Caenorhabditis elegans: one gene and its partner. The protein of the gene in region 2 purifies or fractionates together with the protein of the main gene of each other region. This does not show direct contact. Each region holds a gene or a part of one and is shown on either strand. Other genes may lie near its edges.

Region 1 (3,754 bases), on a different chromosome or scaffold from region 2:
TGTTGTCGTTTTTCTGCGTCGCCGTTGTCTTACAGGGCGATCAATCGGGCTGTAAAAATAGGTTATTATTTTGGGGTTAAACTGTAATTGCTTACATTGGAACCTGAGCATCATTATCATCCAAACATTCCTGGGCGATGTCACCAAACGTTCTTGCGGTAAGATGTTTGAAGTTTTCTGCAAAAGTTGAACGCTGACTTTTGAAAAAAAAAAACATATTTTCGTGTAATAAATGTACCTTCCATGTTTGGATCAAGATGCCTTCTTTGTCTAGTGTGTTTTAGTCCTTCAGCATATGCTTTACTTCTCAAAGTTGATCTGCTTGAACCAGCTGTTTCCTCTGGAGCGCTACTAATTTCTGGATTTGTTGGAGAACTTTCGAACTGTTCTTTATATTTTTCGACAATGCCCTTGATTTCGTGTAATGGTGATTTGAGCCCCGTTAGAGTATCACTTAGTCCAAGTTTTTGCTTAGCCTCTGTGTAAACTCCGTGAATAAATGATAATTCCGTCATAATATCAGAACTGAGCATTTTCGTAACACTGGAAAACGGCTCCTGAAACTGTTTATGAAAAAATTCCAATAATTTAACTTACTTACAACTGGAATTTTGTTAAAATAGGGCAACTCTTCCTCGGCAAGGTATTTTTTGTGGGTTGCCGGATCATATGTCGACTGAAACACTTTAATTCTAAACGCTTTCTTCAGAATAAGCATTTTGAGAGCCGCAATTGGTTCAAGAAGTTTTTCGACTTCTAAAGATTTTTGAAATTCGAGAAGCTCTTCGAATTGTACCGCAGTGACCGGAATCTGAATTAAATTTTTTAAAACTAAATTAAACTTAGAATTAATCACCTGACAGACATGATCAACTGGCTGCAAATTGTACAACGCATAGCAAACATAAACTCCGAATAGCCTCTCCTGAAAATATAACATTTCAGACTTATTTTTACTTCTATTTCAAACCTTGAATGCCCTGAATGCTCCAACTTCATTCACTTTTCCGAAATACATTGCTGCGTGTTGTAACAGGTATTCAGTAAACTGAAAGCCGGAATATTATAATAGACTAAATAAAATCAAAATAAAGCTACCTCTAAGCATTCGGCAGGATTTAATCGATAATGAAGAATGGTCTCAAAATGCATATCCCGAAAAACATCAGCAAAGTCTCGAATTCTTAATTAATCAAGATTTTCCATCAAATAATACATTTTCTAACTATACCTGTTGGATCCCATAGATATAAACTTGTTGCACAATAAATGAAGATCTTGTTTAACTCCAGTTCCCATAAATGGCGTGGGAATACCTCCAGAAGCCATTGCGACTCGTTTTTTCCTTGAATCTTCAGAAATAAATCCGAAAATAATTGACGAAAATAAAAACATGCAAGTGCGCTCTATCGTGAACAACCAATTCTCGGCGGGAACCAGCGGTATTCAACGCATTTCAAAATGAGTTGCGCCTCAATTTACCTAAAAATATTGTTTTTCAATCGTTTTGATATAATTTAGCTCAAAATATTCCCATAAAATTAGTTTAAATATATTCGCAATCAATTTTACGCTTTATTAAAACATCAAAAGCTATAGATCTGCGTGAAACGTTCTTATAAATCGTGTTGCCGTGAAAAATATTCTACTGATCGTTTTCTATCGAAACATTTTCATGTTTTCAGAAGAATCGAACTTCAATCAGTATGCCTGACGACGAGGAGAAGCTCCAATTACTTGCTGTAACGTTTTATCATTTCATCTATTACCAACTAAACCTAATATTTCAGGACGTTGAGAGGCTCAAGAAAATTCTCCGTCAAAAAGATGAAATGCTCGAGGAGATGGAAGACGATCTCAAAAATCAGGGAAAACCTTGTTCTTCCAAACTTTCACTCGAAGAACGTGCACAAGAATTGAGTGAACAACTTCGCGATCTTCATGTTGAGATGGACGGAAAAAACGCCACAATTCTTGATCGGGACGCTCTCATCGATTCACTGCGTAGTGAGATCGACAAACTCGAAAAAATTGTAGGTTTTCATCATTGTGGGCAACATTAATATATTGAATTCTCAGAATAAGGAGTTTGCCAACGGATCAGTGATTCCCGAACATGATGATTCCAATTCCTTCGGAGAATCTGAAATGCTTCGTATTAGCGAAGATTGTCAGAAATACAAAGAGACGGCGACTGCTCTTTACGAACGAAACGCCGAACTCGAAAAAGAAGCGGTCAACTTGAAAGATGAAATTGAGTCGATGATGGATCATATTCGGGACCTCAAAAATCATATGGAGACGCGTGATGAGGAAATTGCCAGATTGGAAGGAGAGCTTTTTGATGAGAGAAACTCCCATGAAGGAAAATTAGCGGCACGCGGAAATTCAATGTTTTCTGAGGTAGGTTAAAAAATATCAATTAACTGCATTTTTTTTAATATTCTTCAGGTTATTGATGCCGAGCGGAAGGTTGAAGAAGACCTGAAAGTTCTTCATGGAGAGAATCGAGCACTGAAAGGGATGGTAAAACGTCTTCGAATGGAAGTAGAAGAAGTCGAAGAAAGACTTCGGTCATCCACAAAAAGATTCAACGTTACCCGAATGACCACAAGTGATATTGATGTCAAAGAGATGCGTCGTCTCAGAGACAGAGTTTGTCACCTGGAAACGGAAAGGGTTCATTTGTGGGAAAGAATGTTCATTAAAATGAGGTCAATTCCAAAACGCGAAGTGGGAGCGTTGATTACCGGCTACTTCAAGTCGTTCGAATTGTCAATTGCGAGCGTGAAAGGAGGTTTTGACGGTTTGATGAAGGACAACGAAAAGTACGTGACAATTATTCGTGGATTGCAACAGGAAGTAGAAAATCTCAAAGCGGACATTGTGCAACTACAATTCGACAATAAATGTGCTCACAGAAAAGCTGCACCAGTTGTCAATAAGGATTTCGAGCACCCGCTTCTTGCTGCTCCTCTGAAAACTCTTAACAATGGACGACCATCATTCTTCATTAAACCGAAAAACGTGGAACCCATGCCTCAATTAGGGCATTCATTATCCAGTATTGCCGTTACGCCACAGGTAGATAAAAGTGCAACTTTTCACTATAAATAATTATTTTTCCAGAAACCAGCAGCTAAATTCACCACTCGTTCCTCCATCAAAGATGATACTTCAGAATGGGCAGAACGTCGTATGAAAGCTCAAGCTGAAAAGAAATTGGCGACTCCGACGCCGCGTTACAACTATATCAAACTGTCCGAGCCCGTTCCAAAATTCAAACCGGCTGTTCTTCAAATGCCATCAACCTCAGAAACAAAGGAAAACTGAGTAAACATCATGTTCGTAGTCATCTCGTATTCATATAAAACCGCCTGTATTGATCTCGTCCCCTCTATTCACCAAGTTTTGTCGATTATTCTACAATGTTTCCTATTTAATGCATGTCAAATAAAATTATTTTTATTATAACGCTCATTCTTAGATTGTTGATGTTCAAGAACTTGATAGAGCCGCTGGCGGGAGTGCAGTGGAGCGCGAAACCCTATCGATATTACACGATCACTTATTGATTTATATATTTTTAATATTTATTATTGTAAATATGGGGTAGAATATAGAAAAATATTTTCCAGATTTTCTCTTCCCTACAATCTTCGGAGATCTCGTATGGATATGCTTTCGATATAGGTTCAGTTCTTACTACTAGTAACATTTGAGAGAGCTTAAAATTTAAAAATTGTAAACCGTT
Region 2 (3,754 bases):
TTTCCTCGGAAAATGGAAGAAATGAACAAGACAAATGCAAAATGTTTGTTAAAAAGTAATTGAAAATGAGTAAAACTGTGAAATATACTAGTTTCAGGCTTGTCGTCGTCGGATCGCATATTTTCAGAGTTTTATGCATTTTCAGTTACTTTTTAATAAAAATTTTGCATTTTTCTTGTTTATTTCTTTCATTTTCCGAGGAACAAACATAGAAAATGAAGAAAATCGGTGAAATAACGAGAATAAATAAAATAAATAAATAAAAATAATGCAAGTGCGCTCCACCGAACGAATCCAATTGGCGGAAATTCAAAGCGGAATTAGGGGGAAAACTGAGATTTTTTCAATTTTCAAAAAATCATATAAAATCTAGAAAATTTTTTTGAATTTTTTTATCATGATATTCGGTCCTTGTGACCTCATAGGAATGTTTCAAAGCAATTTCTCCGCTGGCGCTACTCCAGAAAACATAAATTTATTACTATCTCTGAAGAGACACCCCGTCCGAGAGTGGAATTGGATTTGCATCAAAGAAGCTGGTTTCACACTCGTATCCAATGATTTCCACGTCGCCAACTGTAAAATCTGGGGGTTTTTCAGCATAAAAACAGCATTTTCAACCTACCCATTCCTTTTCTCAATTTTTCCAAAGTGAGAAATGACGTCATAAGTGGTCCACCTTCATTCACATTTTCTTTATCCTCAAAACTATCTTCCATTGGCTCAATTTTCTTTTTGAAAATCATCTTTTTCTCCGCTTTTCCTGCTCCTGATCCTGTTCCCTTGGATGGAAAATCAACGACAAGAACATCTTCAGAGCTCAGAGAAAGCTGGGAAACGCTCGAATGATTCATCACGAAGGGAATCGACGTGAGCGGGAGCACGCGGACACGGTACTTGTCGAGCTGAAAAATTTAGATTTTGAAATTTTAAAATTTGAGTTAAAGGGGGAGTAGAGTTTGTGGGTATTTTACTCAAATAGACTAAAACTGGACCAAAACCACCGAATTTCATAATGAGACTTCACAAAAAATTTCCAAAACTTTTTTATGGCGGGTTAATAAAATTTCGAAAAAATAAAGCCAAATTTTGCTAAAATCTGAAATTTCGCACACTTTTCTTTGTCACAACCGCTGAATTTTAATTTTTCTAAAGTTATCACCCTTTAATCCTTATTTTGGTAATTTATCTCGCGAAAATTCGTTGATTGAGACAACTTTTAAGCCGATAGGCTTAAAAGTTGAGTAGGCATCCAATTTTGATCATTTTTGGATGCCTATCGGCCTAAAAGTTTTCTCAATCAACGAATTTCCGCGACATAAATTACCAAAAGAAGAATTAAAGGGTGATAATTTCAGAAAAACTAAAATCAAGCGGCTGTGAGACAAAGAAAAGTATGCGAAATTTCGGATTTTAGCAAAATTTGGCTCTTTTTTCGAAATTTTGGCCCGCCATAAAAATGTTTTGGAAATTTTTTGTGAAGTCTCGTTATGAAATTCGGTGGTTTTGGACCAGTTTTAGTCTATTTAAGCAAAATACCCACAAACCCCACTCCCCCTTCAAACGAAGAATTCTAGAATTTTGGGGGAAAATTACCAGGAGAACCGGTGCCGGGGCGTCGTCCTCTTCGCCTTTTGCGGCCATTTTTTCATTATATTGCTTGAGCTGCTCGATGGTGAGTGGCATTTTCTGGGAAATGAAATTTTGAAAAAAAAAAGAAGAGAATTTTCTGAAAAAACGTGAAAAAAAACATTTTTTCACTGATTTTCTTCATTATTTGTGTATTTTCATCGGCAAAAAGAGAGAAAAATGCGAGATAAATGTGAATTTTTCATTGAAAAATCACTGAAAATGGGTAAAACTGTAATATTATGAGTTCCGACGACAACAAGCCGGAAATTAGCTATTTTCAGTGATTTTTTAATGAAAAATTCACATTTATCTTGCATTTTTCTCTCTTTTTGCGATGAAAATACACAAATAATGAAGAAAATCAGTGAAATAAGGAGAAAAATAAAATAAATTAATAACAATTTAATTTCCGGCTTGTTGTCGTCGGAACTCATAATTTTACAGTTTTATCCGTTTTTAGTGATTTTTTAATGAAAAATTTACATTTATCTTGCATTTTTCTCTTTTTTTCCGAATAAAAAAACCCAAAAAATTAAGAAAATCTGTGAAAAAATGAGAAAAATAAAGTAAATTGTTTTGTTTTCGCGCCACTTAAGTGCACTTCCTGTGCAAACACTTCCACGTACTTTTGCGTACTCTGCAAGCGCGCCCCACTGCACTCCTTATCGACCCACCAATTTTTCCAATAAAAAAGACTTTCTGATTGGATTTTTTCTCAATTTTTGTTTTAAAATCAAAGAAATTAATGAAAATTAATTAATAACACATTATAATTTTTAAAAAATCCATTTTTCAGCAGGATGTCGGAGGCAGACGCCGGCGCGAGGGATGGTGAGAAAATTAAGATAAAAAATTCAAAAAAATCAAAGAAAAATTGCAGAATCACCATCAAGGACAGCGGAAGAGCCGGCTGCTGCAATGAGAATCAAAGAAGAACGGAGAAGTTCTTCGGTAGACGTAGTCGACGTAGGAAACGGCGAATTATTAGTGCTTCACTCGATTTTTTATCAAGGAAAGACGCTTCGTCTGCCGGGTAATAGAGCTCACATGTATCCCGTTGTCTTTCAAATGATTAAAGGGTGAGAAAAAATCGATTTATAAATATATATATATATATATAATTAATTTCTGATCATTTTTCCATTTTCAGCGTGTGCTCCCTAGTTAAACAATTGGTGGTCGCTTTCCCGAAGGGCTGGGACCAAAATACTCCGTCAATTAGTGAAATTGCGGCTCTGACGAAGAGTTTTAATCGTGTCGCCAAGCCATTTGCTTCGAATGTGAGCTTTTTTGGCGTTTATAAAATCCAAAAAAGGCGGAAAAAATAACTTTTTTTTGGCGTTTAAAAATCCAAAAAAACCGGAAAAAATAGCTTTTTTTTGGCGTTTATAAAATCCAAAAAAGGCGGAAAAAATCGAATAAAAATGAAAAATTCGTGTTTTTTCTTCCTTTTCTTGGATTTTTTTAAACCAAAATCCGCAAAATTTGCAAAAATTAATTAATTAACTATTTAATTTCAGTGGAGCGGGTCGTACAACACAGATACGCTGAAAGAGTGGGGAGAGCCAAATTGCTCGGCAGAAGTGGCAAAAGCCATCACAACGTACGCCTACGAGTGTGCAGTTCCACGGCCAGCAGATCTCAATCAACATTACAAAAGTTTCACGTCCGAGGTGAGGCGTTTTCCTGGAAAATTCATATTTTATGGAAAAAAGCTGATAGTTTCGGGATTTTTATTCAAAAATCGGTTTTTCCTTAGAAATAAGCCTGAAAATTTATATTTTCTAAAAGCCAAATAATTTAGGCATTTTAACTTAAAAATTCATCAAAAATCCTATTTTTATCGAAAAAAAGTCAATAATTTCGCTAAAAATCGGCTTGAAAACGATTAGTTTCGGGATTATTACTCAAAAATCAGCCCGAAAATCCATATTTTTATCGAAAAAATCCCATAATTCTGCATAAAATCGGCCTAAACGCGATTAATTTCGAGATTTTGACTCAAAAAATCATGGAAAATCCATATTTTTATCGAAAAAAGCCAGAAATTTCGCGGAAAATCGTCTTTTCAAAGATTTTTTCGCCCAAAAAGACAGAAAAATCTCACTTCACCTTAAAAAAT

Evidence for each region. Proteins that work in one complex are often made in the same cells at the same time.
Region 1: the proteins of zwl-1 (region 2) and spdl-1 purify together in Caenorhabditis elegans (affinity purification with western blotting; 3 studies listed by BioGRID, with this or other methods). This does not show direct contact.

Annotation. Positions count from the first base shown.
Region 1 is NC_003280.10:7,779,881-7,783,634, forward strand, and holds spdl-1 (Spindly-like protein spdl-1), read left to right. Parts: upstream 1-1,685; 5' UTR 1,686-1,706; coding exon 1,707-1,742; intron 1,743-1,790; coding exon 1,791-2,033; intron 2,034-2,079; coding exon 2,080-2,403; intron 2,404-2,451; coding exon 2,452-3,084; intron 3,085-3,129; coding exon 3,130-3,333; 3' UTR 3,334-3,471; downstream 3,472-3,754. Other genes in the region: snpc-1.1 (snRNA-activating protein complex subunit 1), read right to left, coding at 1-49, 96-177, 239-557, 602-811, 857-925, 971-1,048, 1,099-1,183, 1,232-1,329. UniProt on the Caenorhabditis elegans protein: Transient kinetochore component required for chromosome and spindle pole alignment and chromosome segregation during mitosis.
Region 2 is NC_003279.8:2,400,167-2,403,920, reverse strand, and holds the start of zwl-1 (Protein zwilch homolog), read right to left. Parts: upstream 1,690-3,754; 5' UTR 1,687-1,689; coding exon 1,597-1,686; intron 906-1,596; coding exon 626-905; intron 577-625; coding exon 483-576; intron 1-482. Other genes in the region: dot-1.1 (Histone-lysine N-methyltransferase, H3 lysine-79 specific), read left to right, coding at 2,433-2,463, 2,513-2,711, 2,783-2,912, 3,153-3,305. UniProt on the Caenorhabditis elegans protein: Essential component of the mitotic checkpoint, which prevents cells from prematurely exiting mitosis. Required for chromosome segregation, the assembly of the dynein-dynactin and mdf-1-mdf-2 complexes onto kinetochores and spindle pole separation.